Ovis aries: one gene and its partner. The protein of the gene in region 1 binds, or shares a complex with, the protein of each later gene. Links are inferred from orthologs where the notes say so. Each region holds a gene or a part of one and is shown in the gene's direction. Other genes may lie near its edges. The genes, in order: ERCC2 and POLR2C.

What was found.
Region 2: ERCC2 (region 1) and POLR2C share a complex: the UniProt entries of both Homo sapiens proteins name them as parts of the TBP-based Pol II pre-initiation complex. The link is inferred for Ovis aries from reciprocal best matches to the Homo sapiens genes ERCC2 and POLR2C.

The regions. Positions count from the first base shown.
Region 1 is NC_056067.1:52,782,196-52,786,106, reverse strand, and holds the start of ERCC2 (general transcription and DNA repair factor IIH helicase subunit XPD), read left to right. Parts: upstream 1-1,522; 5' UTR 1,523-1,555; coding exon 1,556-1,560; intron 1,561-1,864; coding exon 1,865-1,964; intron 1,965-3,650; exon of another isoform or gene 3,651-3,722; intron 3,723-3,898; coding exon 3,899-3,911. UniProt on the Homo sapiens protein: ATP-dependent 5'-3' DNA helicase. Component of the general transcription and DNA repair factor IIH (TFIIH) core complex, not absolutely essential for minimal transcription in vitro.
Region 2 is NC_056067.1:25,049,199-25,053,109, forward strand, and holds the start of POLR2C (DNA-directed RNA polymerase II subunit RPB3), read left to right. Parts: upstream 1-1,588; 5' UTR 1,589-1,626; coding exon 1,627-1,712; intron 1,713-1,875; coding exon 1,876-1,925; intron 1,926-3,911. UniProt on the Homo sapiens protein: Core component of RNA polymerase II (Pol II), a DNA-dependent RNA polymerase which synthesizes mRNA precursors and many functional non-coding RNAs using the four ribonucleoside triphosphates as substrates.

The DNA.
Region 1 (3,911 bases):
AAACTGGGAACGAGGTAGGAGACAGACGAGCTCCAGTTTAGACATTTACAACTGGCCTCCTTTTTGCATTTCATGGGGCAGGAAGAAGTGAGCTTCAGGCTGGATACTTACAACTAGCCTTCTGTTAGCATTTCCTGAGACAGGAGATAGGTGGGCTCCAGTTTAGGCCTTTACAATCAGCCTCCTGTTTGCCCTCTGAAATGGAAGTAACAACAGATACAGGGTAAATAGCCTGTCTTTGTCTCTTGTAAACACCTTAAGATAATAATCATGGCAAGGACAAAGAGGGGCAAAACACTGTTTGAGTAAAGGATTAAGGGCTCTCCGCTCCCCTCCCTCACCCTTTCTGGGACATGGGAGACACACCACGACGGCAGAAAGGCTCCCGGTGTGTCAAAAGTCGGGGTGGGGGGTGGGGCGGTAATTCCAGGCCATAATGCGGCTTGCTGGTCCCAGAAGACTTCACCTCCAGATTCATCTTGGCTGAGGGTTGAGTGGGCACCTCAGGGGAGGGAGGGAGGACAAAGCAAGATGACTGGCCTGAAGGAAGACCAAGATCTGGAAAACTGTCCCCTTACAACAGATTTAAACTTCCTAAAGGTGTAACCCCAGAGTTTGCCCCTGCGTCTTTCCACATGTATTCTTCTTTTCCAATAAACTTTTTACTTTTCTCTTTACCTTCTGCCTCCTCCCCCGAATTTTTTCTTAACGCGGCAGGCAACGACTGGGGATCCAGGTCCTAGCCTCTGGCCTCTGAGATCCAGAGGTTAAGTTCCTGATCAGGAACTAAGCTCTTGTTCCCAGCTTCTGCTCGCTTCTGCTTGCTGCAAACTGCGGTTACTACTGCGTGCATCGGAAATCAGGAAGCGCAAATACACGGGACATGATAATTGGGAGCTCCTGCCTGCAGAATCCCATGGACAGAGGAGCCTGGTGGGTTACAGTGCACGGAGTCGCGAAGAGTCCGATACGACTGAGCGACTATGTACAGCACAGGGCATCCCTGGTGGCTCAGATGGTAAAGAATCCGCCTGCAATGCGGGAGACCTAGATTCGGCCCCTGGGTTGCGAAGATTCCCAGGAAGCCCTCTATGATCCCCCAGGCTCTGACCCTCTCTGGGTTCTCCCATTGTAGACTTGGTTACTTTATTGAAGTTGGGGAGAAAGGGAGGTGTACCTCTTAAAACCAAGAATATAATAGAATAAAATTGAGTATGCATCCCCTGCTCAGGTAATCTGGACAGACGCAGGAAGATCGAATCCCAGCGAATGAGATCGATTCTCTCAGTTCTCTTCCATCAGCGTTTCCTTCTCGGTACTCGGCGATCCTCCTCGATGCCTCCGGCCACACCTACCCCGGAACCCGCCTCCCGCAATTGCCGTGCGCACGCGCACTGTCTCCTGACGTCACTTCAATGGGGAGTGACGGGCAGGTTCAGCCAATGGCGTCGCGAAGAAGGTGGGGCAGCGCCTCGAGGATACCCTGAGGAGCCTGTCTTTCCTGAATATTCATAAGGGAGGCGGGCCGACGCCGCTCCAAACCGCGACCGGCGCCATGAAGTGAGAGGGGGGGTCTCGGGTTCGCGGCTCGCGAGCGGGAGTGGGGGTCCGGAAGATGCGGGGACGCGTGGTCAGGCCTCGGGTCCCGGCGGAGCGAAGGGAGGCTGCCGCGCTGGGGTGGGGATAGCTGCGGGGAGGGCCAGCGAGGGAATGCCGAAGGGACCTGGAGGCTGCTAGAGAACCGGGGGGATGTGCGGGACGGGCCAGCCGGCCGGAACCGCTCTCGGCCCGGCGGCAGGGGAGTCTGGGGGCTGGAGAGGGGGCTGAGGGGACGGGGGACTGATCCGGCAGCCCCCGCCGCCAGGCTCAACGTGGACGGGCTGCTGGTCTACTTCCCCTACGACTACATCTACCCGGAGCAGTTCTCGTACATGCTGGAGCTGAAACGCACGCTGGATGCCAAGGTGGGTGGGCCGGGCCCGCCGCTGCCCCCCTGAGAGGTGGGGCTGATCAACACGCGCCTTTAAGACTGAGATTGCAGCGGTCCCCAACCTTTTTGGCACCAAAGACCAGTTTTGGAGAAGTCAATTTGCGGACGGAGGGATTCAAACTCATTTTTGTGCATTTTATTTCTATTATTATTACATCGGGTCTATCAGACATTCGATCATTAGGCCTCATATCATCAGGTATTAGATCCTGGAGGCTGGGGACCTCTGGTCTAGAGTTTAGAAATCTGAGGTCCTTGTGATAGCCCCCGCTGCCAAACTTGGTATCTCAAATAATAGTAATTAAAAATAGCATCAGCTGACCTTTATCAAAGGCTGAACTGCTCCGTGGTAGGCTTAGGCATATAGAGACTCAGGAATTGGCTACCCACGGTAGTGTGTCCTTGGGTAAATCATCACTTAATCTCCCCTCTGCAGTCTTCACCTTGGTGAATAGCCATAGTAATAGTACCTACCTCAGCTTAATATGGGGCTTCCCAGGTGGCTCAGATGGTAAAGAATCTACCTGCAATGCAAGAGGCCGGGATTCAATCCCTGGGTGGGGAAGATCCCCTGGAGAAGAGAAAGGCAACCCACTCCAGTATTCTTGCCTGGAGAATTCCATGGGCAGAGGAGCTTGGAAGGTTACAGTCCATGGGGTTGCAAAGACTTGGACAGGACTGAGTGACTAACACTTTCACTACTTTCACTTTCATATTAGTGAGGGCTGCAGGGGTTAATTCACTAAGTAAGGCAGAAGTTCTCAACTGGGGACCATTTTGACCCCCGGAGGACATTCAGCAAAGTGTGGAGACATTCCCAGTTGTCAGTACTAGTGGAGGAGGGGTGCAACTGGTGTCTAGTATGTAGAGGCCACATTTGCTGCTGCAGTGGGGGACAGACCCCACAATCATATGGTATCCGGCCTCCAAATGTCAAGAGAGTTGAGGCTGAGATACTCTGATGTAAGACACTTAGTAATAGTGCCAGGCACAGAGTTAAGTGCTGTGCTAGGTTAAAAGAGAGGGCTCCTACATATCAGATAGAACTTCCCTGGTAGTGCAGACGGTAAAGAATCTGCCTGCAATGCAGGAGATTCCTGGGTTGGGAAGATCCTCTGGAGAAGGGCATGGCAACCCACTCCAGTATTCTTGCCTGGAGAACCCTGTGGACAGAGGAGCCTTACAGGCTATAGTCCTATAGTCATGGGGTCGCAAAGGGACATGACTGAAGGGACTTAGCATACATACAAATCAGATATTGTACTAAATATTTAGCCTGCAGTTTGTCCCTAATCGTCATAGTCCTGCGATGAGGAAGAGCTTCTTAGACCCCCCCAACCCCCTTTTTTTTTTTTTTTTTTGCTGCACTGCATGGCTTGCATGATCATAGTTCCCTGACCAGGGTTTGAACCTGGGCCCTCGGTAGTGAAGGCTCACAGTCTTCACCACTGTAGGCCAATTTTTAGAGACAGAGTCCTCAGAGAGGTTGAAAGGTCTTGCCTAAGACCACTCAACCAGAGTGGCAAAGTGAAAGTGAAGTTGCTCAGTCGTGTCCGACTCTTTGCGACCCCATGGACTGTAGCCCACCAGGCTCCTCAGTCCATGGAATTTTCCACACAACATTACTGGAGTGGGTTGCCATTTCCTTCTCCAGCGGATCTTCCCAACCCAGGGATTGAACCTGGGTCTCCCGCACGGCAGGCAGACGCTTTACCGTCTGAGCCACCAGGGAGATTCCAGAGTGGCAAAAGTGGGGTTCAAATCCACTGCCCCTGAGGCCTAGATTTCTAACTGCTATGTTGTGTCCTGTTATTCCAAGCTGGTTTCATTCTGGGGGAAGGGTCCCAGAGTTTGTGTCCCTGGAGTTTTGAGCGCCTGTGTCGTGTCCCTCCTGCCCACCACAAACAGGGTCATGGAGTCC
Region 2 (3,911 bases), about 28 Mb from region 1:
GCTCTGTTGTGTAAGTCTGTTCAGGCTGCTGTGGTGATATGTCTCACAGTTCTAGAAGCGGGAAGTCCAAGGTCAAGGTGCCAGCTGACTTGATTCTTGGCGCTTTCTTCCTGACACACACGGCCACCTTCTCCCTGCATTCTCGCACAACAGAGAGAGCATGCCAGTGTGCTCTGCGCTCTTCCTGGTTTTGTTAGAGCACTAATCTCCTGAGAGTTCTATCCTCAGGGCCTCGTAAAGACCCCCTTTCCAAGTATCCTCACGTGAGAAGTTGGGGCTTCACCATTTTGGTGCATGCAGCATCCAACAGCCATCTGTCTTCTGCGCTGCGGTCTCCTACCTGAGTGGACTGAATGACGATGGGAGTAACGGCTAGTGGGAATTTCCTGTCTCACGCACGTTCCTCTGGGCCCTTTCTGCACCTGATTCTTTTATCTTGACATCCTGTCAAGTTGCCTGCAGTAGCTATCATATTTTGTTCCATTCCCTCTTTTATCCTATATAGCATCCATCTCACACTCAACAGACAACCTTCTTAATTTACTGAGATGATACAGGCTTTAGTGCAAGGGCCCCCTTAATGCTCTTCTCTGTCTCAGATGTCACTCCTTGCTAAAGCAAACGCCTCTGTCCCCTCTGATGATTCTTTCTCTGCCCCCTACATGTTGTTCCCTGCCAAGTTCTATTTTAGGACTTCTCTGTATAATCTGCTGCCACCTGGGAATTCCCTGGCAGTCCAATGATTAGGACTTTACTTCATTTCAGGGGACATGGATGTGGCACAACCAAAAGCAAAAAAAAGACCCATCAGACCTCTTTGCAGGCTGTTTAAGACACTGCCTACTATGCACCTACATGTGCCCTTCCCATAGAATTTAAATTATCTGTAGGTTTCTTATAGTACCTAACACAATGTTTAATGCTATGGTAAATAGTTGTAAATGCTATATAAATAGTGCAGCAAATTTGTTTTATTTTTGGAACTTTATGGAATTTTATCTTCAATTGGTTGGATTCAAAAACCCTTGCATATGGAGGACCAACTGTACTTTTCTTCTTCCATAAATTTACACACTTCATTCTTTTAAAAAACGTTACAGTATTCCTGTGTTTGTATATTTAACCAGGTCTCTGTCAATGGGCATCTTTTATTTATCTTTTGCCAGAAACTGCTGCAGTGAACTGGAGAAGGAAATGGCAACCCACTCCAGTGTTCTTGCCTGAGAATCCCAGGGGCGGCGGAGCCTGGTGGGCTGCCTAGTCTATGGGGTCGCACAGAGTCGGACACGGCTGAAGCGACTTAGCAGCAGCAGCAGCTGCAGTGAACGTCCCTGTACATGTTTGCTTACACCTGCAAATGTTTCTGCAGTATGGATTCTTAGAAGTGTTACTGTGGAATCAAGGGCGTGTGCATGCTTTGCCAAATCGCCCTCTGAATGGTTGAACGTGGTGCCTCTTCAAGAAGGTGGGAGGGGTGGGTGGAAAACTTCAGGCCTCCGAGCAGCAGGCGGCGCTGTGAGCGCCCGTCCGCGCCAGTGGCGAGGCCCCGCTGACGGACTTCCGCTGGAGGAGTTGGCGCAGGCCCGGCAGAGCTGACAACAGAGGTCGAGCGAGCGGTGGGGCGCGATGCCGTACGCCAACCAGCCCACAGTGCGGATCACGGAGCTCACCGACGAGAATGTCAAGTTCATCATCGAGAACACGGACCTGGCGTAAGACTGCTGGGGGAGAGGTTGGCGGTTCTGGAGAGCCGGGGTCCCAGCCTGCGGGACGTCGTGTCTTTTCAAAACTGGCTTCCGCTTTGGGCGCGGTGGGGCGCGAGCCCGGCCTGTCGAGGTTGCGGTGCCCACACGCCGCTTGGTTTTCATTCCTCAGGGTGGCAAATTCTATCCGGAGGGTCTTCATCGCTGAGGTGCCCATAATAGGTAAGCGACCCCAGTCTCGTTGCCAGGGCTACCAGGCCTCTCTCCCCCCACCCCACTCCTCCCCTTGCCTTGCAGCTCCTGCCCCCAGCCTTGGTTTGGGCGAGGGATTGGGGGCGCTAAGAGGACAGTCGTGCTGGAGACTTGATCGGGCCCTTTGCCCTTGGCCCAGGCCCACTCTGGCCACCTCTCTGGCTCCCACGGGCTATTTAGTTCCATTCTTTTCCGTGCGTTGGTGACGCTCATGGGCTCAGGAGTCTGTGGACTGGGACTCAAACTGTTTTCACTTACTATCGCTGCGAAACTTGGGCAAGCTATTAAACTCTGTTGCAGTCCCCTCTCTAATGTTCGGACGCTAATAGCAGTTGTCAGGGCGACGTTAACGATTAAGGGGAATAATCTCTGTGCCTTGTGTTCAGTGAGTCTCCATTGCCCGGTAATGTGAATCTGTTCCGTCAGCTGCATCTCGGGAGCATATAAGCTCCAGGCAGTGGTGCTAGGCACTGGAAACGCAGAGCTGTGAAGTACAGGGTTCTCTAGGAGTTCATCTTCAGTTGCTCAGTTGTGTTCGACTCTTTGCGACCCCATTGGCTGTAGGCTCCTCTGTCCATGGGATTCTCCAGGCAAGAATACTGGAGTGGGCAGCCATTTCCTTCTCTAGGGGATCTTCCCAATCCAGGGATCAGACCCGCTTCTCCTGCATTTGCAGGCAGATTCTTCTAGGGTTTAAGGAGAACCGTAGCTGCAGTGGGTTTGACGCTTCAAGGAGAAAGGATCTGTTTCTGCTTTTGTTCCAGCCACTCTTCACTGGGTGTTCTGCCTGTCTACAGATATACTACAAATATTTTCCGAGTGTTAACTCTGAGTTTGGTTTAGGAAAAAGAGATGTAAGCCATAGTTACCGCATCAAGTGTGCAAATTCCTAAGGAGATGAACGGGCCAGTTGGTTGGTAAGCAGAGGACATTGTAGTTTTTCCACCATTACCACCCCCCGGAGACTTTTTCAACTCAGAGCTTGGAGTGCTGGTTCTCCTTCTCTGCCTAATCACCCCGTGGGGTCTCAGGACCTTAGTTTCATCATGAGTAAAGTGAGGCAGTTGTGCTTTAGGGTGCAGCCCTGACATTCAAGCGCCACTTTTCCCATGTAGCATGAAGCACCTCTTGCAATCCAGACCCCAGCTAGGAATACAGAAATTAAGACATCTGAAGACCCAAAGAAATTTTGAAGCTTGAGGTGGAAGCAAGATGCACACAGATATAACGCAATTTGACAAGTGTCTTAAGAGAAGTGTGGACAGAGTTCCAGGAGAGAGTAGCTTCCTCCCGGGAGAGAGTATTCATCTCTGTATCACAGAGGGTGGGCAAGGCCTGGTTTATAGGAAGCTCACAGGATTTTAAATCCTGCACAGGAGAGGTTAAAGGCACGCCAGTGGGAGGAAAGGCAGAGACAGAAAAGCTTGGCTCTTAGTCCTTGCTTGGCTCAGGTTTAGGAAGCAGAAGGACAAGCAGGTGGGGGTCTGGTCGTGTCTGGTCCTCTGTTCCTAGTGTCTGTGCCCCTCATTGAACAGTTGGTCTCACTGCCTTTTGACTTCTGAATTTAATTGTTTATGTACACATATTTATGAATGAATGAGTAAATGTGTTTAAATCAACTATGTGTGACACTGCAGTTCTCCTCCTCGCTCATGGCTGGTAGGGATTAGTATGCCCTACCCATTAAAGGAATTGGGTAAACATGATTTGGTTGAATGATAATAAAGTATTAATTTGGGTAATCTAGTCATTATATCACAAAAGGAGATGTGGGCCATAAGTCTATGTTACTTCTCTGAGGTTTGTCCAACTTTCAAGTGCCCAAATAGCTTGTGTTCTTACTGGTGTTGGCATGAGTAGCAGATTTAAGTGCTTCCCACAGAAATACTCCGCTCTGAGAAACACGCTCCCATTCTCGTGGTATCTTTAGGTCAGTGTTTTTGGGGTAATACAGGG